Linked DNA regions of Coturnix japonica. The main gene of each other region encodes a partner of the protein of the gene in region 3 in a complex. Links are inferred from orthologs where the notes say so. Each region holds a gene or a part of one and is shown on either strand. Other genes may lie near its edges. The genes, in order: CDK2AP2, CHD5, MTA3, HDAC2 and CHD4.

Region 1 (4,958 bases), on a different chromosome or scaffold from region 3:
ACCTAAGATCCTCTGCCTCTTCTCAGCAGCACTCAGATTGAAGATATTGGTCTGCTGGCCGGCATCTGGCCGGTAGTACGTCTCAATCTCGATGGAGAACTTCTCCACAAAGGGACAGGTGTACCTACAGGAAGCATGGGGATGAGGCTGAGCCCAGCGGACAGCCCCCAAACCTACATTCCTATGGGGTCCCACCTTGTCCTGGTGTAAGGATATGCATTCCACGATTCCTCTTCGACTCTCAAAGCTGCCTTGGGCAATATTGACCGAAACCAGCTGGGTATGTGGGAGCCCACATGGTAGATCTTATGGGTGTACTGCCCGCTGCCACCGGGGCCATCGCTGTAGGGGCGGTTTGCCAGGATCTCCACCCCGCTGCCCTCGCCGCTGGATTCCTCACGGCTTTTCTTCTGCAGGGTGAGGGTGAGCTGAGCTCCAGCACCCCAAACCCTGGCATCTTACCAGGCATCTAACGCCACCCCCCCACACCCCATTCCTCACCCTGCACCCCCACCTCAGCCCCATAGCTATTCCCAAGACCCCCACTCTGCACTCTGAGAAACAGGCTCAGCCCCATGCCTCCACATTCTATTTCCACAACAACTCCAAGCCCCCAACCCCGCACCCTCCTCAGCCCCCAACCCTGCATCCCTGCACCCCTCAGGCTCCATATTGCCCTCGTATCCCTATTACTCTTAACCCCCACCACTTCAGATCTCCAATCCCGCAACACGCTGACCCCCACCCTCAACCCCTTCTCACCCCATACCTCTCAGCCCCAAATCTCCACCCTCAGCCCTGGGCTCCCACACAACTCCCAGGACCGCATACAACCCCCAAGCTCCATACTACCCAGAAACAGCCCCCTCCAGCTCTGAATCACCCCAACCCCCTCTCTCTCAGCCCCATAATTCCATAGCTCCCCATAGCCCCAGCTCAGCCCTAACCCTCACTTTCTGCCTCATCCTCCTGCACTCCCCCAGACTCCATAAGAGACGCCTCCATCCCCCAGACCATCCTCAACCCCCCAAGCTCCACATTGACCCCCATATCCCTCAGCCTCGAACCCGCTGACCTCCACCCTAAGCCCCACATTCCTGCACCCCCCCACGGCTCCACACGATCCCGGGCCCCACACGACCCCCCCCCCCGGGCCGCAGCCCAGGCCCCATCCGCACCTGGATCATGTAGAGCTGCGCTACCTGGTACTCCTCCAGGCTCATGGGCAGCAGGATGTGGTACTCCTTGATCAGCATGGCGCCGTGTTTAGGGGAAGGGGCGAGGGGTGGGGGGGGCTCCGCGGCCCTCCGCCGTTAACCCGGCCCCGGCCCGGCCCGCTTCGGCCGGGCCCTCCCCACTGCCATAGCAACGCGCCCCCCGCCCGCTCGGCCGCGCTCTCGGCTCCCTTCGGCTGTTTCCGTCACCCTTCGGCTCCTTTCGGTTCCCTTCGGCTGCGCTCGGCCCCTTCCGAACCTGCGCCGCTCTGAGCCGGCCCCGCGCTGTGTGACGTCACGGCGTGGGGGGCGCCCGCTGACGTCAGGAGGTGGAACAGCGTGGGGGGGGGCGTGACGTCAGAGGGGACGTCAGAAGCGGGGGGGCGGCGGACCGGGAAATTAAAACGGAGCGGTATATATGGGGAATTGGGGGCTTGGAAGGAGGATTTCCTTTATAAGGGGGGGGATGCAGCACGTCCTTTATTTATAAAAGCCGGAAGGTTGGGGCGGGGGGAGCCCCGGGGGTGGCCCCGTTCGGGGGGAGCCACCGGCGGGGCTCGGGGGGGGGGGGGGGGTCGGGGGGCTGCTGTCACGTGCGGGCGTTGCGCTCTGTCTCGGCCAAGCACTCCCGAACCAGCGCCCGAGCGTGGATGATCCCTGAATGGGGGGGATATGAGTGAGCACTGAGCTCCGGGCTTAAGGGGGGGGGAGGGTCACAGAGGGTCGCCCCCCGGGCTCGTTACCCCGCTTGAGCCGCTCCATGGCGCTCTTGCTGCCGGCGTAGGTGGGCCGGATCTCCCTGCCCATCTCCTCGATGACAGACAGCAGGTCGCTGTAGGTGCTCTGCGAGCCCGGAGCGCCGGGCGGCTTCATGGTCTGACAGGGGATGGAAGGCGAGGAGGACGGAGGGGGGGGGGCTCAGCGTCGCCCCACGCCGCCCTCCCGCCGCGTGCCCCTGCCCCGCGGGCTCACCTGCACGTAGCCCATGGACGGCGGCCCGAAGTCGTTGAAGAGCGGGCGGAAGGCGGACGGCGAAGGGACGCTGGGAGCTGCGGGGAGCGACCCCGGGTCCGGCCCTTCCTTCGCACTGGGGCCGGGCCCGTCACCCCTCAGCCCGGCCCCGCTCGGGCCCAGCTCCGTCCGCTCCCTCCCTCAGCCCCGACTCCCCTCCGCACTCTCCGTCCCTCTCCCTTAGGCCCCGCCGCCCCTCAGGCCTCGTGCCCCTCCTTACGCCCTCTTCTCCCCCCACCCCCGCTCTATCCCCGGGGCTCCTCTCACCGGCGGCCGTGGCTGCGGGCCCCGGGGCGGGGCTGGCGCTGGGTGCGGGCGCGATGGGTTTGTAGGACATCCCGCAGCGCTCCGGGCCGAGCGGCGCCCGCCGTGTGCAGGAGACGGAAGCGAGCGGGGCGACCCCCCCCCACAACCTCCCGCTGATTGGTCAGACGGAGCGACCCGGCGGCGCCGATTGGTCGACGGCACGAAGGGAGCCGGCCTGCGCTGTCGGGGGAGCGCGGTGATGACGTCACGAGGCGCACGCCGCCGATACGCAAACATGGCGCGCCGGGCTCCCATCACCATGGAGACCAGCGGCGTCCTGCACCCCCCCATCACCCCCACCCCCACAGCGAGGGCCAGAGGCCTCCCCCGGCACTCAACGGACGGGCACACGGCACCCGGCGGCACACAGCTTCATTGCGAACCGGCAGCGCTGCCAACACACCGACACGGGGCTCCAACACCGGAGCTCCCCCCCCACACACACCATGAGGGGCAGCGCAGGCCCGGGAAGGCCGCCTCCTCCTCCTCCTCCTCCTCCTCCCGGTAAGGCACGGCGGCGAGTCCCGGCCCTTCAGCGCGACATCATCCGCACAAACTCTGCACAAAGAACCACAGCATTAACCCCAAATAAAGCCGGCAATAAGCCCCAAATACAGCTGGCAATAGGGAGGCCCCCCCATCCATGGCTCCATTGTCCCCCAGTTAAAGCTGGGATCAATAGGGCCCCCCCCCCCTCCTTCACCCTGCCCCCATTTACCTTCAAAGTCCACCAGGCCGTCCCCATTGAGATCCACGTCCTTGAGGATCTCGTCCACCTCGCGGTAGTTGAGCTGCTGGCCCAGCAGCTTCCTCATGGCCTCCCGCAGCTCCGCCATGCTGATCTGCCCGTCCCCATTGGTGTCGAACTGCCCCATAGGAGACCCAGCATCACCACTGTGCTCCCAGCACTGCACCCCCTCCCCTCCCCCAATCCCGGCCCTGCTGCCCCCAGCCCTCACCTCACGGAAGGCATCGCGCAGCTCCTTGATCCCAATCATATCCGCTGTCTCCGCCAGCATCTTGGGGCCCATCAGCTCCACAAAGTCATCAAAATCCACTTTGCCGCCTGCTGGAAGGACCAAAGGGGGATTACAAATCAGCGGGGGTGGTACCACTGTGGCAATATGGGGTTACTTCCCCCTTGTCCTGGCACCTACTGATCTGCTGGGACAGCTCAATGAGCTCCATCTCGGTGGGCATGTAGCCCATGGTGCGCATGCATTCACCCAGGTCCTTGTAGCTGATGTAGCCATCGCGGTCCTTGTCAAACTCCTTGAAGGCTTGTTTCAACTCTAGGGGCAGCACAGGGAGAATGGTGACACCTATAGACAGCCATGGGGGCACCCTACAGGTGGGGGCAGGTGAGGACGAAGGGAGCAGCACTCAGACAGGGACTGTGAGGGATAGATGCTGAGATGGGGACCAGCATGGGGAGCTGAAGAGAATGGGTGTGAAGATGGGGACTGAATGGGAAAGGTGGCACAATGGGAACTGGGATAGGGAGCCAGTGGAACAGGTGCTGATATGGGGACTGAAGAGAACAGGTGTCAAGATGGGGACAAAGCACATTAAGAACATGAGAACTGGGGCAGGGAGCCAGGAGAAAAGGTGATGAGATGGAAAATGGGATGGAGACACAAGGAAATAGGTGTCAAGATAGCAAACAAGTGGGATGGATGGCACAGTGGGGACTTGGGATGGGGACCCAATGGAATGGGGCAGAGGTTGCAATGGGGATTAATGGGAATGGGCAGAGAGATGGAGACCAGGATGAAGGCTAAGGGGAATGGGTGCTGAGATGGAGACTGAGATGAGGACCCAAGGAAACAGGCGTTGAGATGGGGACTGAGTGGGATGGGTGACACAATGGGGATTGAGGTCGGATCCAGTGGAAGAGGTGCTGAGATGGGGACCAGGATGGGGAACAAGGGGAACAGGTAGTGAGATGAAGATTGAGACAGGTTGAAAGATGGGGACAGGGCAGAATAAGAGGCACAGTGGGGACCAGGGTGGAGGACATAGTAGAAGAGGTGCCAAGATGGGGAATGGGATGGGGACTGAGAGGAACAGGTGGTGAGATGAAGATAAAAGGAAACATGTGGCAAGATGTGGACTGGGATAGGAATTAAGGGGAATGGGTATCAAGACAGAGACCAAGCAGGATAGATGGCACAATGGGGACTGGGATGGAAACCCAGTGGAATAGGTGCTGAGATGGGGACCAGGATGAGGACCAAGGGGAACGGGTGGTGAAACAGGGGCTGGGATGGCAATGAACAGGAATGGGTGGTGAGATAGGGACCCGGATGGGGACTGCAAGGAACAAGTGCTGTGATGGGGACTGAGATAAACAGATGGAAAGACAGGAACAGGGATGGGAAGTGAGAGGAACAGGTGCTGAGATGGGGACCAGGACAGAAAGTGAGG
Region 2 (5,628 bases), on a different chromosome or scaffold from region 3:
AGCGGCCAGCAACAGAGCAGCAGCAGGCCAGCCCCATCCAGAGGTGCTCCTACACCCACCACCCCATGTGGCACACTTTGCTGGGCAGCAGGTGCTACTGCCCATGCCCTGCTGCTTTGCAGGGCAGCACCTCCAGCAGCAGTCCTGCTCTGCCCACATGCACACAGAAAGCCTCCCATGCCCCAGCAAGTCCACTGCAGCTGTGCTGGCTTTGCAGACTTAAGGGAGAGGTACTGAGTTAAGACTGTGTGAGTAGCAGAAGGGCAGCATGCGAGTGACCGTGCTGGTGCCCATGTGAAGCCTTGGCAGGCATGCAGGGTGAGCTGCACCCTGGGGGTGCTCATGCAGTGAGTTCACAGTCCTGGACCCATCATGCCTCCATCAAAATGCTCCTTGCTTCCTCTCCACTCCTCTCTTTCACAGAGTCTCTCTTGCACACCCCGTTCCCTAGGCTGCAATTTGTCACTCTCCACACCCAGCAGAGTAACAGTTGATGCTCCAGACACAGCAAAATCAGGTGCCATCACTCCCAGCATCTGCCCTTCCCCACTGCTACACTGGAACTACTGCTATGATCATCTAATGGTCTTCCTGGGACAACTCTGAGTGCTGCACTTGTCAACATATGGGGAGATCCTCTAAACAAGACAGCTGAGGATTCTTCCATACACTTAACTGCCAGTATCCTCGGGGCTCAGCACATGCCTGGGATTAGCAACATGACCAACAGTTATTCAGTCCCAAATCAAGCCCAAACATCTCTCTGAAAGACATGCTTTGGTTCAACAAGATGCTGGACACAATGCAAGACTTGGCAAGTGGAAGTCTCTGGCCTGTACAGTATAGGAGGTCTGAGTAGGTTACTGTAATAGTCCCATCTGAAATGAAAAGAACTATAAATCCAGGAATTTTTTAGAAGTTAAAAATGTGATTTTGCCACGATTTTTTGCCAACCAAGCACTTCTACCTCCAGCTGACCTACATCACTGAAATACCACAGACGTGGCCGTGCACCAAGCCTTGGAGATTCAATAAGGGGATCTCTGGCAAGGAGGCATTCAGCAGCTAACAAAACCCCCAGGTATCCAGAACGTACCTGAAGGGCACATGTAAGATTTTACTCACCCACCTTCTTCCTTACTAGTGACATAACTCCGATCCGAGTCAGCACGTGCTGGCGAGAAAGACCTTCCCGTGGGACCCCATCTGCAAATGTCTCTGCACCATCAGCTCCAGGTTCACACAAATGTCGCATGAACAGGGAGACATAAGCCCTGTGGAAAGAAAGCAAGAGCTGGCTCTAGCTTGGACCAAGAGCTCCCTGCTGAGCACCCGCAGTGCCTGTTTTCACCAGCGGCCAAGGGCAGAGTTTTGCCCTCCAGCACATGGCATCATGGAGCAGTTTGAGATGAACGCCTCACAGGCATCTTCATGCCTGATCACAGTACCTGAACTCTTTCTCACTCTTCCCTCGCAGATCCCTCACCAGCCAGTGAGAGTTGAAGGCATCCTGGGGCGGCATTCCCCACCGCATGATGGCGTTCAGGAAGGCTTTGCGCTGCCGGGCATTGAACCCCAGAACCTGCAGGGAGCAGAGGTTGGGAGGCCTCAGAAATGATGACATCTCAGAGCCTCACAGCTGCTACAGGTCCTGAGCCAGGACTGATGCTGAAGAGCAGCACAAACCGGACCAGACAGACAAGGGACATGCTTTGGCCAGTGCTGACACTCACTTCAATATTCCCCCCAACTCTTGCCAGCAAAGGAGGGAGAGGTTTGTCCCGGTCACTCTTCAGCTGCCTCCGTGATTGTCTTCTGCCACCTGCAGTCATACAACCTATGTAACAAACGTGCCCAGCCAACAGAGGGATGGCCAAAGACCTAATGCTGATCAACCCCTGTGCCCTAAGCTTCCCATAACCCTTCCCAATGGGAGTGGAACCTGCACACAGCGGCAGTCAGGGTTGTTCAGAGTGCCCTTTCACTCACGTGGCCTCCTCATGCCAGGGGAGGCACTGAAGACCAGATACTGCTACCACAAGGACAAGACCAAAGCCCTACATTAGCCAGCAAGTCATGCTCCCTGTGCTGAGAACTGCCTCACCCAGCAGGGCAAAGAATGCCTCCCCAGAAGCAAGGCAGTCTCTTCAGCTCAGACCTCCCTGCTGCATTTGAGTGCCAGCCCACCCCAAATCACAGGCTATCACTGAAGTTCCTGCAGAGGACATTGTAGATTATCAAGTCCATTAACTCACTCTGACCTTCTGGTCTTTCTTCAAAGTCTTCATCTTCATCCTCAGAGCCAATGGAGTACTCAGACTGGTTGTCAGAGAGCTCGTCCTGCCACTCTGCAGACCACAAGGAGACAAGGTCAGGAGAGAGAACCCTGCAAGCTTGCCTCAAGGGGACAACAGGAGCCCTGACACTGCCCCCAGCATCCAGTCCCAGGTAGCCAGAGAGAAAGACCCAGAAATAAACAGGAAACCAGACTCAACTTTTCCATTATTATTAGTTTCCTTCACAGAAAATAAAAAAACAAACCAGTTTTAAATACTTTGCCCACAGTCAGGTTTCTCCTCAATTCTTTCCCAGTTACAGGCCAAAAGGAAACAAAAATCACAGAGCCTGCTCCCAGACCTGAGCCAAGCAGTCAAAGCCATACCTTGGTCCTCCTGAGAGGCATCATTGTAATTGACCTGCTTGCGGATTCTCTTCCCCTTCCCCAAGTTCCTGGCCAGATCTTCCTGCTGCTGCTCATAGTGGTGCCGCAGCAGCTTCTCCCAGTAGTCAGGGTCCACATTCTCCTCTTGTTTGATGATCTCACGTTCCACCTCCTCCTGCAAAGAAAGGAAACCAAAAAGGCTTGAGACAAGAGAGCTGCAGACCTCCCTGCACCACACTGCTGTGCGTCTTCTACTGAGCTTTAGGGAAGAGGGATGGAAGGAGGGCACTGAGACACTTGCTGGTAAGCAAGATGTTCAGACATGCTTTGACCACCCAGTGGTGTGCCTCCTTCACCCTGCTCTACATGCATGTACACAGAGTCTCACTTTCACCCAAATGCACTGACCTCAGTGCACGGTTATCAAAGGGCTGAGACAACCTCCCAGTCAGCCACCTATACCTAGAAATAGCTCCTGAGAACACTGCCATCCGGCCTGTGCTCACATCCAGGGAACAATCACAGATCCACAGAGATTGCCCTGAATAGCAGCCCACTATCAGCTTGAGAGACAGCTGAAGGAAGTCTGTTAGCTACAGGGAGAATAAATGACAGCAGCACAATGCATGAGCAGCACCGTGCCCTGCTCCCAGTATTCAGAATAGCAGCCTTCAGAAGAACAGAACCAAGTACCAGAAGAGCGATAGGTCACAATAGGTCAGAACCACATTTAGCCATTGCAGTCCTGCTGGCTGCACCATCACTGCTACCATCAGCAATGAGCAGGGAGGAGTACTGCCCTGCAGAGAAACCCCCACAGGAACAAAAAAGGCAGAGGAAGAAGCACAAACAGGGACATACAAACAGATGTGATTATAAGACATGATACTGATCACATTACCACACCATCCTCTTCTCTCACAACATACTGGGCCACTTTAAAGGAGCTGAGATACTCGTTCATGTTCTGCAGCTCCGTGTCATCGGTCGCATCCTGGTTTCGGTCCAGAAGCTTAGAGATAGCAGCATCGTCATAGTGGATCACACTGCTGTCATCCACATCCTTATTGTCACCTGGAGGGCAAAGCAAGGGGAACAGAAAGCAAATCACACTGTGTGCTCCCAGAGCCAGGCAAGATCAGGCTGGACACAGGGCAAAGTCATCCCAGTAACAGGGGCTACAGACCTGGTGGGGTGCCACCATGCTTTTTTTTCATGCCAGGAGTCACTGCACCCCCTTTGGTGGACAGCGTGTCAGAGAAAGGGGTGACGGCATCCGGCATGGTGAGCCGCTGTCCCTGAGACACCATGCCTGCAAGTGGAAGGCACAGGAATGAGCCCCTGCAGCTCCAGCAGGGCTTGGCTTTGCTCTGAGCATCTCCAGCTCCCTCCTGACCCAACCTTCCACATCATCCTTGAAGAGCTCTTCTGTCCCAAACTTCAGGATGTCATCCAGCTCTTGCTTGGTCATGGAGCCTGACTTTGAGCCAAGCCCAGGACGGACCACCAGGTGGGTGAGCATCATCTTCCTTTTGGCCACCTGGGTGATGCGCTCTTCCACGGAGGCTCTTGTCACAAAGCGGTATATCATTACTTTCTTGTTCTGCCCGATGCGGTGTGCTCTGCTGAATGCCTGCAGGCAGAGAACATCACTGCAGAACAGCCAATGTTGGCACATCTGCAGCCAGCCCAGTCTTGGACCCCCTCAGCCAGAAGCTGATCTCAGGCTGCTATGGGGCAGTGGAGCAAAAGGGGCTCCTTAGAGCCAACCTGTAGGCTTTACACTCCTCCTTCCCCCTCCTCTGACTACAGAGCAGGCCACCTTCCTCGTGCATGGCCCCTAATTGAAAGGCTTGAAGGCAGTGCAGAAAAGCTCCTCCTAGGAATCCTCTGGCTGCAGATCAGTCCTTAGATAGGATCTACCACAGCTTTTGGAAATGCAAGTGGAAAGTCCCCAGAACAGGAAGGGACACTAGGTTGCAGACAAACAGCAGGAGAAGGGCAGAAGCTCATGGAAGAAAGCCAGTTTTAGTGGCCAGTCCACCCCTGCATTGCTGACAGGCCAAGGTAAGGCCAATAGAGGTGTGCAAACAGCTCCTGAACAGAACTATGTCCTGCAAACTGCAGGAACCATCAGCAGCTCTCAAGAGGAGAGAGCTCATTTCACTGGCAGAATGCACAGGGGGCCCATCCAGAAAGGTACTTACTGTACTGGAAGGAAAAGAAAAAGTAATAAACCTGGATGTCATTGTGGGGATTCCAGTCAGAATCATAAATAATGACTGTGTCAGCCGTAGCAAGGTTTATGCCCAGACCACCAGCGCGGGTAGAGAGGAGAAAGCAGAACTGCTGAGCACCAGGAGCTGAGAAAGACAAACCCACAGGTGGCAGAAGGTGAGACAAAGGGGAGCTGGGCTTATTTGGAAAGGTGTAGCACAGTGCTTTAGTTATAAAACATCAGGGTCCACCAGTCTAAGCCAAGAAGCAATAGGCAGGGAAGACAAGGAGTAAAAATACATCAACCCCTGGAAATTAGTTAGTGAAGAAAATACAGCTCCAGGTCTGAAAGGGAAGCTCTGAGGCCACAAAGAGAAATGCAGGAGTCTTTCAAGCCAAACAGCCTGTCATTAACAGGCTCAGAGTTTAATGTGTGAAATAACCAGAGGGGCTTAACACACCAAGAGCAGCCCTGCATTGTGCCAGGGCTCTGAGCTTCAGCACTCTGCACTCCAGGTATACACACAGCCCCCACAACGCCTGACCCCTCTGCTGGCTGCTGCAAATTGGCCCCAGCACACAGTGCCCACTGCCACTCCTGGAAGGGAGGAAAAGCACTTACCATTAAACCTATCAATGGCTTCCTGGCGCAGGCCTCCAGTGATGCCACCATCAATGCGCTCATACTTGTAGCCCTCGTACTCCAGAAAGTCCTCCAGCAAGTCCAACATCTTCGTCATCTGCAGATA
Region 3 (5,628 bases):
GGCTTTCTGAAATCTGTTAATTGATGCAATGTCATAAAACCAGAAACAATCAATAGTATTTTGGAAACAAAAAAGCCAAGAGGACCACAACCACTACTGAAAAAAGGAGATTAGGATGATCCAAGTGACCACAGCCAGCAATGATCCTAAATAAAAACTATGGTTAAGGCTGATATGTGGCAGAAGATGATAATGCAAGTGATTTTAGGCTGAAGAATCTGCTAAGAAAAACTTGAGGATATGTCAACAAAAGCATAAGTTTTGGCCAATAACTAAATTTAGTGCTTATTCAACTTCTGTTTGAAGTTAGTAGAACAAAGTAGTCTAATGAAAACTACATTTCCATGATCACTGTTGTATCACATCCAGTGTGTCAGAAATTGTTTTGCAGTTTGCACCGACTACACTTTGCAAGCTTTTAACTAAAGAAAAAAGTAGTACAAAATCCAAAATAGCCATTCTTACATGAACAAAATACACTTTCCAGATTTCTATTACCTTGGATATATGCTTCCTTTATGTTTTAATAGAAAATAGATAAGTAGAAATAATTATTTCCTAAAGCAACAATTTACAGTTCTCAATAGTAATTTTTCAAATTAGATGCTATTGTGTACAAATTGCCTTAACACAGTTATGTATTTGATACAAATGAATCAATGTAGCTAATAACAAGCTTTATAAATACTTTATGTTGAAGAGAACATTCAGAATAGATAGAAAAAAATGTTATGAAGCTCAGCTCTTTAAAGGATATCATCATAATAATGTTTACCTTGAACTTATTGCTATACCTTTCTTTGCTGTGGAAAAATCTTTATTTCCAGGTGAAATTCATTCTTTGGTCAAAGATTACAAAGATAGTCCAGTCTAATGGCCAGCATTAGAGAGGAGAAAAAGCAGCTTTTGTTCACAATCACATGCAGAAATTACCAGATCGTCACTACAGTACTTCACAATGAATGTTCATAGTGAAAATTCTGTTATGTGAAATGCACTGCATTTATAGCTATGCCTATTAATGATATCACTTTTTTATCACACAGTTGTCATCTTAGTCCACTGAATAGCTTGCGTTGCTGTGCATGTCATTTGCCTGCCATGAGATAGTTGTTTGCACAGTGAGCAAAGGTCCAAGTGATCCCGTCATACATATACTGTATTTTATTTTGCTTTTTCCGAAAAATGTATTGATTTCTAGGTATTACTAAATGCACAGTAGGTATTTTTACTGCAGGATACAAATGACATTGACAAAGACAGAAAAGCACGATTGTTCTGGTAAAATAATGGACTGAGCTTTCCCTCCTGTATTTGGAATAGCATTTCTATTATCTTATCTAAAATGAATCTTTCTCGTTTCTACCTTGACCAGTGAAACATAAAAACAGAAAGTCACCTCTTTTGTGCTAATCACATCTCAACAGCCTATTTCAGAACCTAACTTCTTCCAGATTTTCTGCTTGCAGCACCATACAGCAAATAATCTAATTGCTTACAGAGGTTACACCTCACAAGAAGAATTCAAGAAATGCAATGCATGTCTCTGCAAAATATTTCTTCAAATAAAAATGCAATAAGGCAAAGTAAAGCTTTTGCTGCATCTTTCTCTTTTCACTATATTTGCTTAATTTTTTCCTTATGCTTATATGTAAAGGTGAAAGATTAGTAAGAAAAATGGTACAAATAGGTTTTGTAAGACATGGCGTTAATGGCACTGATGAAAACCCTTGTTCAGTGAATATGCATCACCATTAATTGCATTAAGAGCCAATGATGAAAATACACTGTCTATACCTTAGATTTCTATGACTGTGCCTTCTTATTTAATGTCATTTTTTAAAAACATATACCCTACAGAAAGTCATAAAACTTTGCTGTTTCAGGTCCACAGAAAATTGTGCAATTCAGAAATTTTACAGAACGTATCTCTTATATTCCTTCACTTACCATCAAGACCATTATGATGGCTGTAGTTCCTTTTTCCCAAAATACTTAGTGAAGAATGATTGGAGGGTGCAAGCAGTCGTTTTGTACTTGGACTTTGAAGGCTTGGTGTTGATCTGATTACATTGGGTTTCGCCGCAGGGTGAATCTCTGCTTAAGACAAAAGGCAGAGAGAGAGAGAGAGAGAGAGAGAGAGAGAGACTTGATTTAAAAAGCTTTCAGTCTACTTGGTTTACTAAAATTTACACTTCGGTTTCTAGCAAAACAGAAGTGGGTTTCTTCAGCATGAATGTGTTTATAGGACTTTGAATAACAATCTGAACACATCTTCATACCTATTGTTCCTCCAGATAAGGATGAATCAATTTAATTTTAGATTTCCTGAGTTTACTGCAATGATGTAAGGTATTCACAATTGAAGAGATAATAGAGAACAAACTGAAGCAGTCCTGTGTTTTCATTTTCCTCCTTTTTTTTTTAGCTACACACCTACAAATTGTTTGTCAAGGAAACAAAAGCACTTTACAACAGTGAAGCCCCCTCAGTGTCTTAACTTATTCAAAATTTTCTGTCAAAAAAGCAAGCTTTAAAGGATCATCTGAAATACAGGTTGCTAGATGCAAGGATCAGGGAGAGAGCTACAGCACTACTCCAATACTGCAGCATCAATACAGAACCATTATTATGGATTCAAATATTCAAGAACATCTGAAAGAATACATGCAGGAGGATTATTTCAGAGATGGAATAAGTTCAGTACATAAAAGGCAGTGAAACTCATCTGCCCAACGTGATTCAGAGCGGGTAGCTGCTGTGTTTGCCAAAAGCTGGTGCAGTTGTATGGAAATTTCACAGTAACCTGCCAGATGAAGCTGGCACAAGGCACTGAGCAGCAGCAACCAGTGGCACACAGGCTGCCTGAGGCCTGTGGCTCAGCTGAGGCCTGCCCGAATCCCCTGCCAGTCAGAGATGCCCACTGAGCAAGACCCTATGGGCAGGGGAGGCTGGCGGCCAGCAGATCAGGAGTCAGCTATCTGCAAAAAGTGAGAAAAGAAGGAAAAAATAAAAATGAAGCACTCTTGTAGCCCAGGTTTGCACCTGAAGAGTGTTCCTTTCTGCTTTTTTTTTGTTTATAAAATAAAGTGCATGAGCTGGGAATATGCAACATCTAAAAGGAGGCATGATGTCAAGGAGGATGGCCCCCAGCCTCTGCTACTCATAGTAATTATGCAGGAGAAACCATTGTACAGGAGTCAAAGTCCACACCAATAATGCATTTTATTTTTCTTCCATAAGTACCATAACCCAATATCAGTGTGCACCACATGCCCATTTTCATTGCAAGCCTTCACACCTACCCACACCAGGAGTCAGGGAAAAGTCTGAGGCAGCCACAGTAACCTTTAATAGGCAGAAAATGGGAGGTGGGAGAGCCAAACAGTTTTATCTATAGAAAGGAATATGATGGCCAGAGGGAGTCAGGCTGCACAGTGAAAACGGACAGCACCAACAAACTTTGCATTGGAAGACTATGGTTAACTGTCCAATGATTTGGCCACAGCACATAATCTTACTCTTAAAAGTATGAGCATTCTTACCCTGTATGCTTCAAGTGATTCAGATTAAAAAGAGTAGAGCAGGATAACATGTTTTTAGTTGTTAGAAAGGCATTAAAAGCAGGGTGCTGGTGTCTGCAAGACAGTCCTGTAAGGCTGCACATGTAAAGGCTAGTTTGTTATCTCTGATGTTGTCACTGTTTACTTAAGAGCTCTGATTCTAAAATGCTCATTTGGCAATCTCTTTCACTTTTCAGAAGGAAATGATTAATATTCAGGGCTAACACCACTATACCATTATCTATTTGCAAAAGAGCTCCAGCAGCAAACAAAATAATCCCCAGAGCTGGATCAACAGACTAGAACTCAAACTCCTGTCTACAGTATAAAGGAAACATAACTTTGTATTTCCAGGAAGTGCTAAAAGCTGAGAAAGGATGCATTTCCTTCCTTTGATGTTTTTTCAGTTTGGAGGTCGTTAATCCCCAGTTTGCCACTAAGGCTGTTTTTTCTCTTTCTGTAGATGAGTAAAGTAGCAGGACCAAGTTTTCTATGAAACTATTAATCAGTCAGGACCATTTCTCAACACCTTGAGTCCTTCCTTTAGGGTCTTTACACCATTTGCTCTCATTCTCTACCTACAGATTTGCTTCAAATATTTGCACTTTTAGGGATCTTTTTATTCCCACTGCTATTACCTTTATTCTACTGACTAGTACATTTTTTCACTGAAAATCTCCTATCCATCTGCAGCTTCTGCTAACTTAGAGAAGTAAATATAACATGCAAATAATCCAAATTATCCCAATAGCTACTGAACAAATAACCAACTGGCCAGATTCAGACACTATGATCACTTCTGAAATTAAAATAAAAATGAAATGAGAAGAGAAAAAATACTCCAATTACATATTAGGAACCTCTGTTACGAAACTGGCTTGCAGCCTCAAGTAAAACAATAAAAACTCTTAAAAACTCCCATTTCCACTAATGTCACTGAGGTACTATATACATATACAAAGCAAGTTAAGAAAAGTTGAAGTCTCCTGCTGAGTCACTTAACTAACTAACAGCCTGAATTCCATAGGTGCTTAAGCAGCTAGATCTCTCTCATCTCTTCTCAGCATGCATCTCTGCTGGAAACTCTAGACTAGCTTCCTGGTAACTAAGAGGAAATATAGGGCATTTAATTATCCAGGGGCTCACTTTAGGAGGGTTTGTTTTGTAAGTACAGTAAAGACTGAAGAGATTACAGGGGATTAACTCCAGCTCTCTAGAGGACAGGGCTTACTTTTAATACTTAACCTATTCCACCTGGGGAAATGGTGGCCCAGAAGCAGAAGAGAGAAAGGAAGACAATGACCTAGAATGTGCAGAGCATTGATATCCTTTCTGTCTCACCAGTAGGGCTCAAAAGAGTTGAGTCTGTGAGACACAGTTAGCAGCATTTCAAAAAATGCTTGTGGGCATGGCCTTGATTTTAAAAGGAAAACAACTACTTCCTGTGTAAGGTATCACATGACATTTAACACTAAACTTGAAAATAAATAATGAAAGCACTACTTATTCTCTGGAACATGCTATTACTTCCCAGCCTTCCCTTCCCACCCAAAAAATGCCATTTTCAAGCCATCCTCACACAGCAAGCTTAGATGTATGCCCAGAACTATGTTGGGTATACTTCATCTCCCTATAACAGACATTATTTGACTTCTGTTGTATTGAGATATTTCACTTCTCATTCAGAAGCTATCTGGACTCTACAGATACCTTGTATATTTTAGCACTGTTAATCATCTTCACAAAAGCATCACCTAAGTGCACATAATGCTATCTAAGATCATCCATCCATTTACTCCCATTAACTTTATAGACCTGTGCTTCCAGGTGTACTAGGACAGTCCCTTTCAGTCTAGACAAAGCAGCATTAAAAACATACAGCATTTCCTAAAACACTCATGCTGTCCTTTCTTCTTCTGGCCGCACATATGCGGTCAGCCAGATGAGCCATCCCCTCCCTCAACCACAGCTCCTCCGGTAAGTGGAAGCAGCCTTTCTCTTCTCCCTTCTGTACATCGGTAACATAGAGCACATGGTTGGGATGCACACAGGAAGTTAGCACTGT
Region 4 (5,397 bases), about 38 Mb from region 3:
CTATTTATAGAATTACCATACAATGATTACTTTGAGTATTTTGGACCAGACTTCAAACTTCATATTAGTCCCTCAAACATGACTAACCAAAATACACCAGAATATATGGAGAAGATCAAGTAAGTAGTGCTTACATTATTTGCCAAGTACATGTGTGAGTTGTGCTTCTCTAAAGGTTTAATATTTACACAAGTTTGAGAGTTCCATTCCCTACTACACGCTGAAAAAGTACTGAATAGAAAAGACATTTTTTTCCGTTTTATCAGAAGATGAAATTTTAATTAAAATATCTGTGCCTACAACATTTTCTGTGCTTATGAGTCCTGAGTATTTAAAGAAGAAAGGCTTAGGACTCAGTTTCGGTGGCTTTTTCCCCTTCTTCCAGAAATGAAAGAGTTGACTGTTTTATTTGGCTTACTCTGATTTTGTAAGAAATTTATCCTGTCAGGAAAGAAGCTGTGCTGTGCACTGATTATTAGGCTTCCAAATTCTCTACTCCCTTGTCCAAACACGAGTGATTGTCATTCTTTGTAGCTGTCAGCCTTAAAAATAGAAATCATGTGAGGAGACATTAAAAACTATGGAAAGATGTGTGCAAGCGATTGAGAGACTGTAGTTTGATGAGTCCACAAGATTTGTGAAGTACTTATTGACAAGCTGTAGATATTGTGTTCTTAGGCTTTGCTTCTTCAGTTTATGCCTACCCACATCATGAAGGTTTGTAAACTAATATTGGTCTTCAGAAATGGAATAATACTTAAGAATAATCAAATCTGTACTCATCTAATAAAGAGATAATTGGTTAACCTGAAGTACTCATTGTTTACAATTGTTTTGTTCCTGATTTGGATTTAGAAGAAGGTCATGTAATAGAAACAGAGACTGTAAGGATCTCATAAAACCTCAGTTGCCATTTCATTCTTTGAATTGTGCAGGGGGATACTGAGGTAGTTGTCACAAATGCTGGTGCTTGTAATCTCCCAACAATTCTCTCCACTCAAACAGCTTTGGACTGATAATTTTGAGTCCCAGGTTATCTATCCTTGTTCCCGCATGTGTGTCTATGGAGTGTGGGATCTGTTGCATCAGCTGGCTTGGACAAGAATGTCTATTCTCCCTGTACTAGCCAGTAAGCAATTTGATCTAGATGGATCGCTTTTGATCCTGATCTTACTGTTGCACACAGCATGGAAATAGTCATGCTCTAAGTGTCTGGCTTTCTTCGGAGAATAGTTTATTACCCAACCTGATAGTCTTGTCTATTAAATAGAGTAATACTGTCACCAGGTCAGCCCAAGCGGGAAGGACACCTACTGACCTAATGAAAAACTGAAGATTGATGTTCCCTGACAGTATATGTATAAAATTTAAGAGAATGTGATATCGAAATAGGCTGTGAATACTGGTGATCTGCTGTGGATGGAAGGCTTTCTGAAGGCTTTCTTAAAGAAAAGCAGGTTAACTTTGAGTGCAGAATTTATCAAATTGAACACGAAATCCAAGGAAATACTACTTCTGTGTAGTAGTAACTTTGTATTAATTACAGGCAACGCTTATTTGAAAACTTGCGCATGTTACCTCATGCACCTGGTGTACAGATGCAGGCCATTCCTGAAGATGCTGTTCATGAAGATAGTGGAGATGAGGATGGAGAAGATCCAGACAAACGCATTTCCAGTAAGGGATACTATGAAGTCCAAGTAGAGTAATCCTAGTTTTAACTGTTCAGAACGTCAGTCTGAAGTGCGATATTGGAAGATGAGCACTTGGAGAACTCATTTACTAAGTAAAAAATACTTTTGCTGTTGGTCTGCCAGTTTTGTGGTTATTAAAGTGGCCTCTGTGCCCATATATGAATCCGTACAGGAGTCTCAAGAAGTGCTCAAGAATACTTGAGTCGTATAGAGCAAGTTGTTGCAGTATATTTTAATATACTCCAGAAGTGTTAGATCAGTTGTAATGGAAGGACTTAGCTTCTGACTTGCTGTTCATAAAAATAGTAATGAATTAAGTGTTTTTGAAAGTAAAATGATCTATCTGGTTTATAACATATTTTTACTAGTTCTTAACTTGGTAGTTCTTTGGTCTATTTAGCCAGTCTTTGTTCTGACCTTTTTGTTTAATTTCTTAAATCCTAGTTCGAGCATCTGATAAGCGCATTGCCTGTGATGAAGAGTTTTCTGACTCTGAGGATGAAGGGGAAGGTGGACGGCGAAATGTTGCAGATCACAAGAAAGGAGCAAAGAAAGCTAGGATAGAGGAAGACAAGAAAGAGACAGAAGACAAAAAAGCAGGTAGGATTCTATGGTTATTTTATCCTACCTTTTAGAATAGCAGGCATTTGTCCTGCTGGAAGGAGGATGCATTCTCTGTTAACAGTTATTTTACTATTGAAACTTTTTTAATCATATTTTAAAAAACTATTTTAAAGTTTAATCAGTTTCATCATTGATTTTAAGATGCAGCTGTTCATCCTGAAATAGTATTTCTGTGCAGACTTGAACAATTGGATTAGTGTTGTTTCTCCCCAAACTCAAAGCTTTATAAGGCAGGGGTTTGTTAGGGTTTTAAAAAAAAAATAAATAATAATAATAATAAAAAAATTATCTTGCTTTAAGTATGTTCTTTTTTTTTTTTTTTTTTTGCTTTAATGGAGTAAGGCTGCTGGTTTTCTTCTGAAACTGAAGCTTGGTAGGTTTTTAGGAATACTGTACTTAAAAGAATTTTGGGGCTTTTCAGTAAAAGGCTGTATCATAAGACTATGAGATAGTGAGCCCCATGAAACTTTGGGAAAAATGCAGTTTTTGTTACAAACAGACACTCTTTTGGCCAGTCAAGAGAAACTATGCCTGACTTGCTTTGAATCACTTGGCACTGTGCCCAGCTAACTCCCCAGGATGGATACATTTAATGTTATATGTCAATAAGCAAGGTTACTTTTTTCTTTTCCGGAAGCTGTTTCTCTTAGTTGCAATTGTATCTATGAAGTATAGCTGTCCCGGATTTTTTTTTCTGTCCAAAGGAAGGTCGCTTGCATTTCTTCATATATTTCAAACCATGTAATTTTTATTTTTAGATGTTAAGGAGGAGGATAAATCCAAGGACAACAGTGGTGAAAAGACGGACACCAAAGGGTAAGCAGTTAATTAATATCACATTATTGAAGAACATCTAGTAACTTAAAGTATTCTTAAGTATTGATTTCTGTACAGGTACTTGATTCCCTCATAATACTAAACACTTTACACTTAGAACAAGACTAACTCTACGTTGCATTTCTGAAATGGTTAATCTAAAAAATCACGCATTTTAACAGTTTATTTTTTGCTTTTGTACAGAGCAAAGTCAGAACAGCTCAGCAATCCTTGAACAAAAGATAGCCTCACATCAATTGCAGAACATAATGCTAGAATTGGAGAATACCTAAAGGAAGAAGTTTTCATTTTGATAAAGACTGCTGATTTCATTTTTGTACTATTTGGCATGGACCGTATTTATTTTCAAACGGCTTTGTTCTGGTTTTTGGCAAGTTGTATTGTGAGTTTTCTAATTATGAGGCAGAAATTCCTTTCTTCACCATGCTTTATGTAATAGTATTTAAAATGGATGTGAGTTATGTTAAATGTCTAAACTGATCTATTAAAGTAATTTGCCTTTCCTGAGCTGATTTTACCTTTTTTGTAATTTTATCTTTATTAAAAAAATAAAAATAAAAAAAAATTGTACTTGGTTGTCTTCTGTCCATCACTGAACTAAAAAGACAAAGCTCCGTGTAAGTTGAGCAGATTTGTGTTTGTCTCTGAGTAGCAGATAAATCTAGATAGGCAGATGGTGAATATTCAAGTTGGACTGTGCTGCTTCATGTGCTTCAATGGCTGCTTCCAAGAGTAGCAACAAATATAATATGAGTACATGAGATTTGAACGTGTTGAATAAATGGGGGAAGAGATATTAGAATAATGTGGTTGTAGGAACTTGCATTTTGATACAAAATTTTAAAGCTCAATGATAAAATGCCTTGTAGCATCCAAGAACCTTTCCCACCATCAGAATCTACTCCCAAAACTGGTTAATTTGCTGTAAATGAAATTTCTATATGGTCATCTTTCAAAACATACAAGATAAGAAGTAAAGGTTTGGCTGTAATTAATAATCTGTCCTGATTTATTTATTTTTTTAATAGCTATAAGCATTATCAAATGTTGTCCCTGTTTTAAGAAGAAAAACACATAATTTTTTCTTTGTTGATTGCTTAGTTCATTCTGTTGCCTGAACTGAAACACAGAAACCTGAGTATACTTATACTTCTTTTTTCCTCCTCTCAAGACTATCATAGTCTTTGTTTTCAAGCTTACAGAGCATTGAACACTGAAGTTTGCAGTATTGCTGTTAATTTCAAGTAGTTTGTGAATTAATCACTGATCCTGTTGGTAATTGAAGTTATTGTTATCTATTGTGTGAACTAGTGGACTGAAATGCACTGTTTAAGGAGAGAAAATACTACTTATATGTATCAAAGTGGTAAAATGCTGTTTCTCTGTTTTCTTTGAGGATAGCAAAAGTACAAATGCAAGGACCAAGACCATGGGTTTGGGTGCAGTTGTGAGCATTTGTGTTCTCCTGTGTGCATCTAATGCCTTCTAGCTCTCTAGTGCAAAGGATAAAAGTTAGATTTGAGGAAATATAGGGAGGTCACAGGTTTATACCAAAGAGGTGAGAAGTGCTAAATGATGCCAAAGGCATGCCTCTAAGTGCCAAGGAGTTTGGTACTCTAAATTTTGTTACAGAAGTTTTCACGTTATATAACTGAAAGTAGCAGATATATTTGTATTATATACGTGTCTTAAGGTGGTGGGTTGATTGGTTGGTGTATTATTATTTATTTATTTTTGAAGTTGATATAACCTTACTTTGTGTCTGTTAACAGGGTTTTTGTTCAAGTGACCTGTGGTCTATGCCATTGTTACAAGTATATCAAAAAAACATTTCTAGATAATGGTATTGAAAAGCCCAGATTTTTAACTTGGGATCACTTCAACACAAAGTAATGAAATTTAATAATGTTAAGATATGAATGAAACCCAAGAATACATGTGATTGTAAACCTCAACTAGAACTAAAAAATAAGAGTTAATCTTTTTGCCTCATCCTGCATTTTTCCATGAGAAATTACAGTGCTAAAACTACTCTATCCTGCTGAGTCCTGGCAAATTTCTATTAAAGGCAGTTGTACTACTGAAGTATATGCCTTTGTCTTTATGTAGCCTCACTACCTAAACATTGTACTTTGGATTAACTGTGAATTCTCCAAACGTAAGCAGTTTAATTTATTAATTTTTCCCCTTCTGAAGAGAAGCTGTTGCTAACCCTTCTATAAATTTTGCAGGTTTCTTCTGC
Region 5 (6,142 bases), on a different chromosome or scaffold from region 3:
GAGTACGGTAATCCTCCTCTGTGAAGATATGATCAATATCCTCCATGCCCCAGTCCTCCAGGAGCTGAGCAGATGACTTTGGCTCCTGTGCAAAGAGAATCATGGCCACTTTGAGCAAAAGCACGCATTCCAGAAGAGAGAACTTCCACACATCTATATCATACATACATCTTCCAAATACAGATGACCCACTGGGTCAAGACTGGCGGATTTCCACCAGCCACTCTCCTCTTGTCACTGCTATAGGATACAGCCTCACTAGAACATCACAGATAGGAAAATCCTTTGGATTCAATATTTATGTATTTCAGGTAGGAGAGAGGAAGGCATGCAACAAGGGAAATAGTCACATCAGGTTGTTTAGAGGATAAAAAAATTAAATTGTTCCCCACTCCATGTGCTGTCTGAGACTACTAACCCAAATCCACATGGAACTGGGAAATAAGCAGTAAGCCAGCAGGTTAGCTTCTCACCTTGGAGTCATCATCTTCCTCCTCCTCCTCTTCTTCCTCCTTGCGTTTTGCTTTGCTTTTCTTTTCCTTCTTTGGCCCTAATTTCTTCTTTTTCTTCTTCCCAGGAGTGTAGTCGCTGCCCTCGCTGTCAGAGCGCAAAACCTCCTCTTCTTCCTCCACAAACTCATTGCCCTCACCAGAACTGTCCCCAAGCTGGGGAGGGAGGGAGAGAGAAGATCAGGCAGCTGTGAGAAAACACCCTGGATAAGCACTAAATGCCACACTTCCCAAGCTCTAAAGGATTCATATAGAGGACTGCTGTCACAGGTCAACAAAGCAAGCCTCCTCACCACAACGCAATCATATTTTAGAGTATGATCTGTGGCATTCTTTCCCTCACCTCCTTCTTCTGACGCTTGCTGAGTTTGGGTACTTTGGGTTCCTTTAGCTTCTTGGGCTTCTTTTTCTTTTTGATTTTGAGTGTCTCAGCCTCTGACAGAAGATCTTCTTCTGGCTCTTCTTCATGCTCTGGAGGGGAAGAGGTGACATCTCACTCAAAGCCCATCTATGCACTACAGCCCAGCATACTTCTCACAGACATCCCTGAATCTGCCTACTTCTTGCTACATACTTACAAACACAGAAGAGCTTGCTCACCCTATTATTGCTTACACCTTGTTACTGTTCACAACACTTACAGTTAATCATATGGCAAGGTACTACCATACACCCTCTCTCCAACAAGGCCCACTTCCACAACATTCCTTCTCCCAACTGAGCAGTTCCTAGGGACCAGAAGTTTGCTCTAACTGAATAAGAAGAGGGAAGGGCACAGAGTAGATTACCATAACTAAAGGAATTAAAGCAGCAAGTACATTTAGCAAGTATGTTTGAGACCTGAAGATAACGTTTCAGTCCTCCAGAATAAAAAAAGTGTTCTTCTTTTCACCAGAACAGAGTACCCTACAGCTTACAGACATTAAAATACATTCATAACACAGTCGAGCAAGCCACTACTTGTCCTCCCCATAGGTAAGCCGCTACTTAGCAACTCAATTCTAATCCAGACTTGATATAGCCTTCTCTCCACCCCTTCCCTCTTTGTCAGCAGCTAGCAAGCAAGCGCCCAGCGCAGGGACAAGCAGCCAACTCCCCATCACCATCCCTTCCATCTGTGCCCCTACCTCTCCCAACCCCAGGGAGAGCCGGGCAACCCTTTCCTTTGTGGCAGGCTCAGAGAGCAGCCCAGCCATTCGCTCTCCCCTGCCGCCCCGCCCATTGCACACAGCCAGAGTCACTCCTTCTCCCTCCAAGGGAAAATGGCCTCCTGACCACAGGAGCTGGGCAGGATGGAGGCAGCCTCAGGTCAGGTAGCTGCAGCAGGCAGACAGAGCAGAAGTAAAGCCCTCGGAATTTGGGGTCTTGCAGTCCTGCCACCGTGCCAACTAATTAGCAAGTCTTTGCTCACATAGTCCTGCAACACCAGCTCATATGGGGATTCCACACCTTCTCCAGCTAATTCAGAGCTTAAGTATCCCACCCCTTCCAATGCTTTTCCCTAAAGCTTTCAGGTCTGCAGTGATTTTAACAGTTTGTTTTCCTCAACAAGGCTTCCCTCACAAGGCTTAATGACCATCTCCCCTCTACCTAAGAGGTACCAAATGCAGCTCAAGTCAATACCCTAAAAAAAAGCCAAGCCTTCCACAACATTTTGCCTCTCCACTTGTAACGTTTTCTCATTTGATATTACAACACTACAACAGGCATGTCTTGGTGGGAAAACTCAACAGGCCAACACATCAGAATACATACAACCTCTTTTTGCAAGGAAACAGAGAAGCCCGATGCTTATGGCTTCCTTAGTGCACGCATCAATAACATTCAAAACAGCAGAGTACCCAGGGCTCTAACTCCAGTCTCATGCAGATGAGGATGCAAGCAAAAGGGACAAGGCAACAAGGTAAGGTACAAAGACTATGAGAAAAGCAAAGGTGAGTAGGCAGTACAGAAAACGAGCCACCAGAAGCCTCAATAATTGGGTGTGGCAAAGAAAAAGTGGGTCATGCAAGAGCCCAGGGCAGTTTGCTCTGGACAGCAGCAAGCCTGAGATCCCAGATGAAACAGCCAGACATCCTCCCCTTTCACATACACAGCCACCTCCCCCAATCCAGGAATATGAAACTCAGACATTTTGGTCAAAATTAAGACATAACACTGACTGCTCACTCCTTCCCAGAGCATGAGCCCCCACTGACAACCTATGGTATCTCGGAACAAAGTCTGCTCCACCTGACACAAAGCCACGAGCCTCACACTTGGAACTGGGATTCCAATAGTAAAGATCAAAAACATACATTAACTCCTAGCTGAAGGGACATTCCTTCACAGAGCATTTATTCCACATATCCAGCCCAAGGAAAGCATTACCCCACCTCGCACGCTTGCCCTGCAGGCCCTCAATACCTTGATGCTGGGGGATAGCGTTGTTCAACAGGATCTCCATCTCATCGTCATCACTGCCCCCCGAGCATGGCGACGGAGATCCGATGCCCGATGCCATATCCTCTGAACCAGGGGAGGCCCAGGCTCACAGAAGTGCTGCCTTCCTGCCGGTGAAGCCAGTACTTCATTGAAAAGAATTAAGAGAAAGTTATAGCAGATGCAAAACGCGGTTTCCCAAGCAATAGTGCAACCAAAAGGATTCAGGAGAAAAAGCTTAATGATTTCATTACACCGGGAGCCGCCAGATAACATGTACTCTGGCAGCAGGTATCACATCAGAGTTGTGATGAAGCAGGCTTTAAGACAGCAGACGTTAAACTGAGTCAGCAACTCATTCCTCACAGGGAGCCAAAACAGCTGTCCTATAGGGAACATCCTCCTGCCTCCCGCAGCCGGTGCCAGACCGGAATGAGCGCCCTAGGTTATTTCTACCTTCGCCTGGGAGAAGGCGGGGAGCGGAGCCGGCCTTCCCACGGGCTCCTTGAGCCGCCCGGCGTTCCGTCAGGGCGGCGGCCGGCGGTCCCGCAAGGCGGCGGAGCCCTCCCGACCCAACTTGGCGGGCCGCCCGCCGCGCTGCCCCCGGGACCGACACAAAAGGCCCCACGGCCGCTCCCCCGCCCGGAGCGCAGCGGGGCCGCAGGGCGGGGGACGGCTCGGCGGGGGCGCGGGGCGGGGCCGGGAAAGTCCGGCCGGCGGGCGGCGGGGGTCCGGCTCTCCGCGGGGCCGGCTCCACACCGGGGCCGCACGGTAAGGCCGGGCACGGCGGGGCGGCCGCTCGTCGGGGCCGCGCCGGGAGGCGGGGCGGGCAGCGTCCCGCGGCCGCCGCGGTCCCGGGTCGAGCCGCGACCGAAAAGCGGCCGGGGGAACAGGCACCGGGGAGAGCCCGCGGGGCGGCGGGCACAACGCGAGGCACGGCGGAGAGGCCGCGCCCGCCCTCGTTCCCTCCCAGATCCTCACCCGGCTCCAGACGGCAGCTCCGCTCCGCTACCGCCGCTGCTGAAGGGAAAATGGCTCCGGCCCCGGCACCGCCTCTTAAAGGGGGGAGAGGGGAAAAAAAAAAAAAAAAAAAAAAAAAAAAGAAAAAAAAAAAAAGCAGGCTCCACCCCACTCCCGCCTCCATCCCATAATATACCCCGTGAACCTGGCAACAGACCCCGCCCCCGTATCCCCGGCAACACCCCCCCCAGCCGAGACATCCCATAATATTCACTCTCCCCTCAGAACTTCCCACTCGCCGCCCGGCCCAGCATCCCATAATACTCGCCCTCTATCCCCCCTCGGGTCCTTCTCTCCCTCCCCCCCCCCATCGGGAGCATCCCATAATACTCCCCACCTCTAACCCCTCGCTCCGGCATCCCATAATACCCACGCCGGACCCCCCCCTCCACGGACACCTCCTGGGGGTTTAAGCAGCCGATCCCCTCCACATCCCATAATAGTCACACCCCGGGCACGCATCCCATAATAGTTCTCCCCTCCCCCTGCGCGGGCAGGCATCCCATAATAGTCGCCGGGAGCCACCGGCCAGCCTGCCATCCCATAATACCCGCAGCGGGGCTCCGACACCGCCCCGCCCGCAGCGGGACGGGCCCTCGGGGGGCACCGCCATGGCCGCGGGGGGCACCGCCATGGCCTCAGAGCTCAGAGCTCACCCAGGTGTCCCAGCCCGCACGCCCGGCTCACACCGGGTACGGTCCCCCGGGTCAAGCAGCCACCGGCTGCACTGAGTGTGGGTCTCCCGGTGACCTCTGCCGCTGCTGGACCGTACGTCGGGGATGTAACGCGAGGTGCACAACGTGGTAGCGCCCTAAAGCTGTCCCCGTCCTAAAGGAATGCGGGGCATCCCTGCTCTGCGCCCTGCTGCTGCCCTACACCTGGCACCATCGCCTCGCCCGTACGCCCTAATTGCACACACGTCGCCGTGCCGTTAATGGTCACTGTATGGCACCGCTCGCCCCATGGCACCTCCGTTAGCTCGCCGGGCACCCAGCCCTGCCCACCTCAGCCCATGAACAATGGCTGTCAGTGTCTGCTGGCTCCTCCCCTGGAGCACCGCCGCAGCATCCCGCGCTGCCCATGCACACAGCCGTTCCTCCATGCACACCCTGTGCCGCTAGCACAGATGGGCTGGGCGGTGTGGAGCCCAACTGCATTGTGTTCCTTCGTGTGCTTATGGAGCCCTGCTAATACAACCCTGCCTACACAGCCCTCTGACCTCTTGCCTTACACAGGTGCCGCCCTGTCCTCTGTCCCTTTGCATTGCGTTGGTTCTCTCAGCCCTACAGAGGACAGGCAGCAGTAAAGGGCTGCACTGTGCACACCTATGCACAGGTAAGTGCAACAGAACACCGTGCCACTGCAAACAGCGGTGTGCAGGCTGGGAGCTCTCACACGGACCCCAGCACAACTCCTGTCTTCCTTCTGTGCACTGACAGCTGCCCGTGAGGGCCAACTAAACCGAACATCTAACAAGATCATAAGAAACAGTTATCACAGGATCCCTACAATGTAACTCACCTTGCTGTTGGATGCTCCCACAGCTCTCACATCCCTTCACCAGGCCAGGTAACCCAAAGGCACCATGACACTCCATCCCAGCCCTGCTCCCGAGGACACCCTCTCACTCTGCCCCCAGCACCAGCCTTTATTAGCCCACATCCCGCTGGACTGCACAGACATGTCCCTCCAGGTTAGACCCAGAGCCAAGCACATCGCACTACGGTCCTTGCAGGGTGTCTCGCTGCTGTGAACACCAGCAGCCCTTCAGAGACACTGAGGCACATAGAGAGGGCAGCCCAGGCCTGCTCTCCTGTGTAGGGCACAGATAAGGCACCATGACAACAGCTTGCTGGTGGTGCAACAGTACACTCGTGGAGGTCAGTTTGTTGGCTTCTGGCTGTTTGCTGGTAGCGTCTATCGTGCCCAGTAAACAACACACACATGTTAATGGTTTCAAGAGCTGAATGCTGCCAGGACACCTCGGTACTGCCTCAGTGGAAATGAATCCACTTATTTTAGTCTTCTAAAATCAGTATCATCTGATGTTTCCATAAACGTGATGCTGTCCCTTAATTGCTGTAGGTGCATTTCCCTTCCTTCCTTACCTGTTCTTTGCAGGTCTGCATCAACGTGAGCCCAGTGACAGCAAGCTCTGCTTGGCAGCCCTGCAGGTTCTCCCTGTCAGATTG

What was found.
Region 1: MTA3 (region 3) and CDK2AP2 share a complex: the UniProt entries of both Homo sapiens proteins name them as parts of the nucleosome remodeling and deacetylase (NuRD) repressor complex. The link is inferred for Coturnix japonica from reciprocal best matches to the Homo sapiens genes MTA3 and CDK2AP2.
Region 2: MTA3 (region 3) and CHD5 share a complex: the UniProt entries of both Homo sapiens proteins name them as parts of the nucleosome remodeling and deacetylase (NuRD) repressor complex. The link is inferred for Coturnix japonica from reciprocal best matches to the Homo sapiens genes MTA3 and CHD5.
Region 4: MTA3 (region 3) and HDAC2 share a complex: the UniProt entries of both Homo sapiens proteins name them as parts of the nucleosome remodeling and deacetylase (NuRD) repressor complex. The link is inferred for Coturnix japonica from reciprocal best matches to the Homo sapiens genes MTA3 and HDAC2.
Region 5: MTA3 (region 3) and CHD4 share a complex: the UniProt entries of both Homo sapiens proteins name them as parts of the nucleosome remodeling and deacetylase (NuRD) repressor complex. The link is inferred for Coturnix japonica from reciprocal best matches to the Homo sapiens genes MTA3 and CHD4.

What each region holds. Positions count from the first base shown.
Region 1 is NC_029520.1:565,504-570,461, reverse strand, and holds CDK2AP2 (cyclin-dependent kinase 2-associated protein 2), read right to left. Parts: upstream 2,691-4,958; 5' UTR 2,563-2,690; coding exon 2,493-2,562; intron 2,302-2,492; exon of another isoform or gene 2,264-2,301; coding exon 2,187-2,263; intron 2,091-2,186; coding exon 1,958-2,090; intron 1,872-1,957; coding exon 1,804-1,871; 3' UTR 1,632-1,803; downstream 1-1,631. Other genes in the region: PITPNM1 (membrane-associated phosphatidylinositol transfer protein 1), read right to left, coding at 3-124, 196-410, 1,179-1,256; CABP2 (calcium-binding protein 2), read right to left, coding at 3,064-3,089, 3,250-3,397, 3,491-3,600, 3,689-3,823. UniProt on the Homo sapiens protein: Acts as a component of the histone deacetylase NuRD complex which participates in the remodeling of chromatin.
Region 2 is NC_029536.1:532,442-538,069, reverse strand, and holds part of CHD5 (chromodomain-helicase-DNA-binding protein 5), read right to left. Parts: intron 5,620-5,628; coding exon 5,502-5,619; intron 5,026-5,501; coding exon 4,901-5,025; intron 4,296-4,900; coding exon 4,064-4,295; intron 3,975-4,063; coding exon 3,849-3,974; intron 3,737-3,848; coding exon 3,564-3,736; intron 2,838-3,563; coding exon 2,663-2,837; intron 2,349-2,662; coding exon 2,262-2,348; intron 1,823-2,261; coding exon 1,734-1,822; intron 1,583-1,733; coding exon 1,449-1,582; intron 1,275-1,448; coding exon 1,130-1,274; intron 1-1,129. UniProt on the Homo sapiens protein: ATP-dependent chromatin-remodeling factor that binds DNA through histones and regulates gene transcription. May specifically recognize and bind trimethylated 'Lys-27' (H3K27me3) and non-methylated 'Lys-4' of histone H3.
Region 3 is NC_029518.1:21,328,345-21,333,972, reverse strand, and holds part of MTA3 (metastasis-associated protein MTA3), read right to left. Parts: intron 2,098-5,628; coding exon 1,951-2,097; intron 1-1,950. UniProt on the Homo sapiens protein: Acts as a component of the histone deacetylase NuRD complex which participates in the remodeling of chromatin.
Region 4 is NC_029518.1:58,987,798-58,993,194, forward strand, and holds the end of HDAC2 (histone deacetylase 2), read left to right. Parts: intron 1-10; coding exon 11-119; intron 120-1,546; coding exon 1,547-1,677; intron 1,678-2,138; coding exon 2,139-2,294; intron 2,295-3,076; coding exon 3,077-3,134; intron 3,135-3,338; coding exon 3,339-3,369; 3' UTR 3,370-3,725; downstream 3,726-5,397. UniProt on the Homo sapiens protein: Histone deacetylase that catalyzes the deacetylation of lysine residues on the N-terminal part of the core histones (H2A, H2B, H3 and H4).
Region 5 is NC_029516.1:69,351,065-69,357,206, forward strand, and holds the start of CHD4 (chromodomain-helicase-DNA-binding protein 4), read right to left. Parts: upstream 4,004-6,142; 5' UTR 3,912-4,003; intron 3,077-3,911; 5' UTR 3,013-3,076; coding exon 2,916-3,012; intron 981-2,915; coding exon 853-980; intron 698-852; exon of another isoform or gene 666-697; coding exon 474-665; intron 86-473; coding exon 1-85. UniProt on the Homo sapiens protein: ATP-dependent chromatin-remodeling factor that binds and distorts nucleosomal DNA. Acts as a component of the histone deacetylase NuRD complex which participates in the remodeling of chromatin.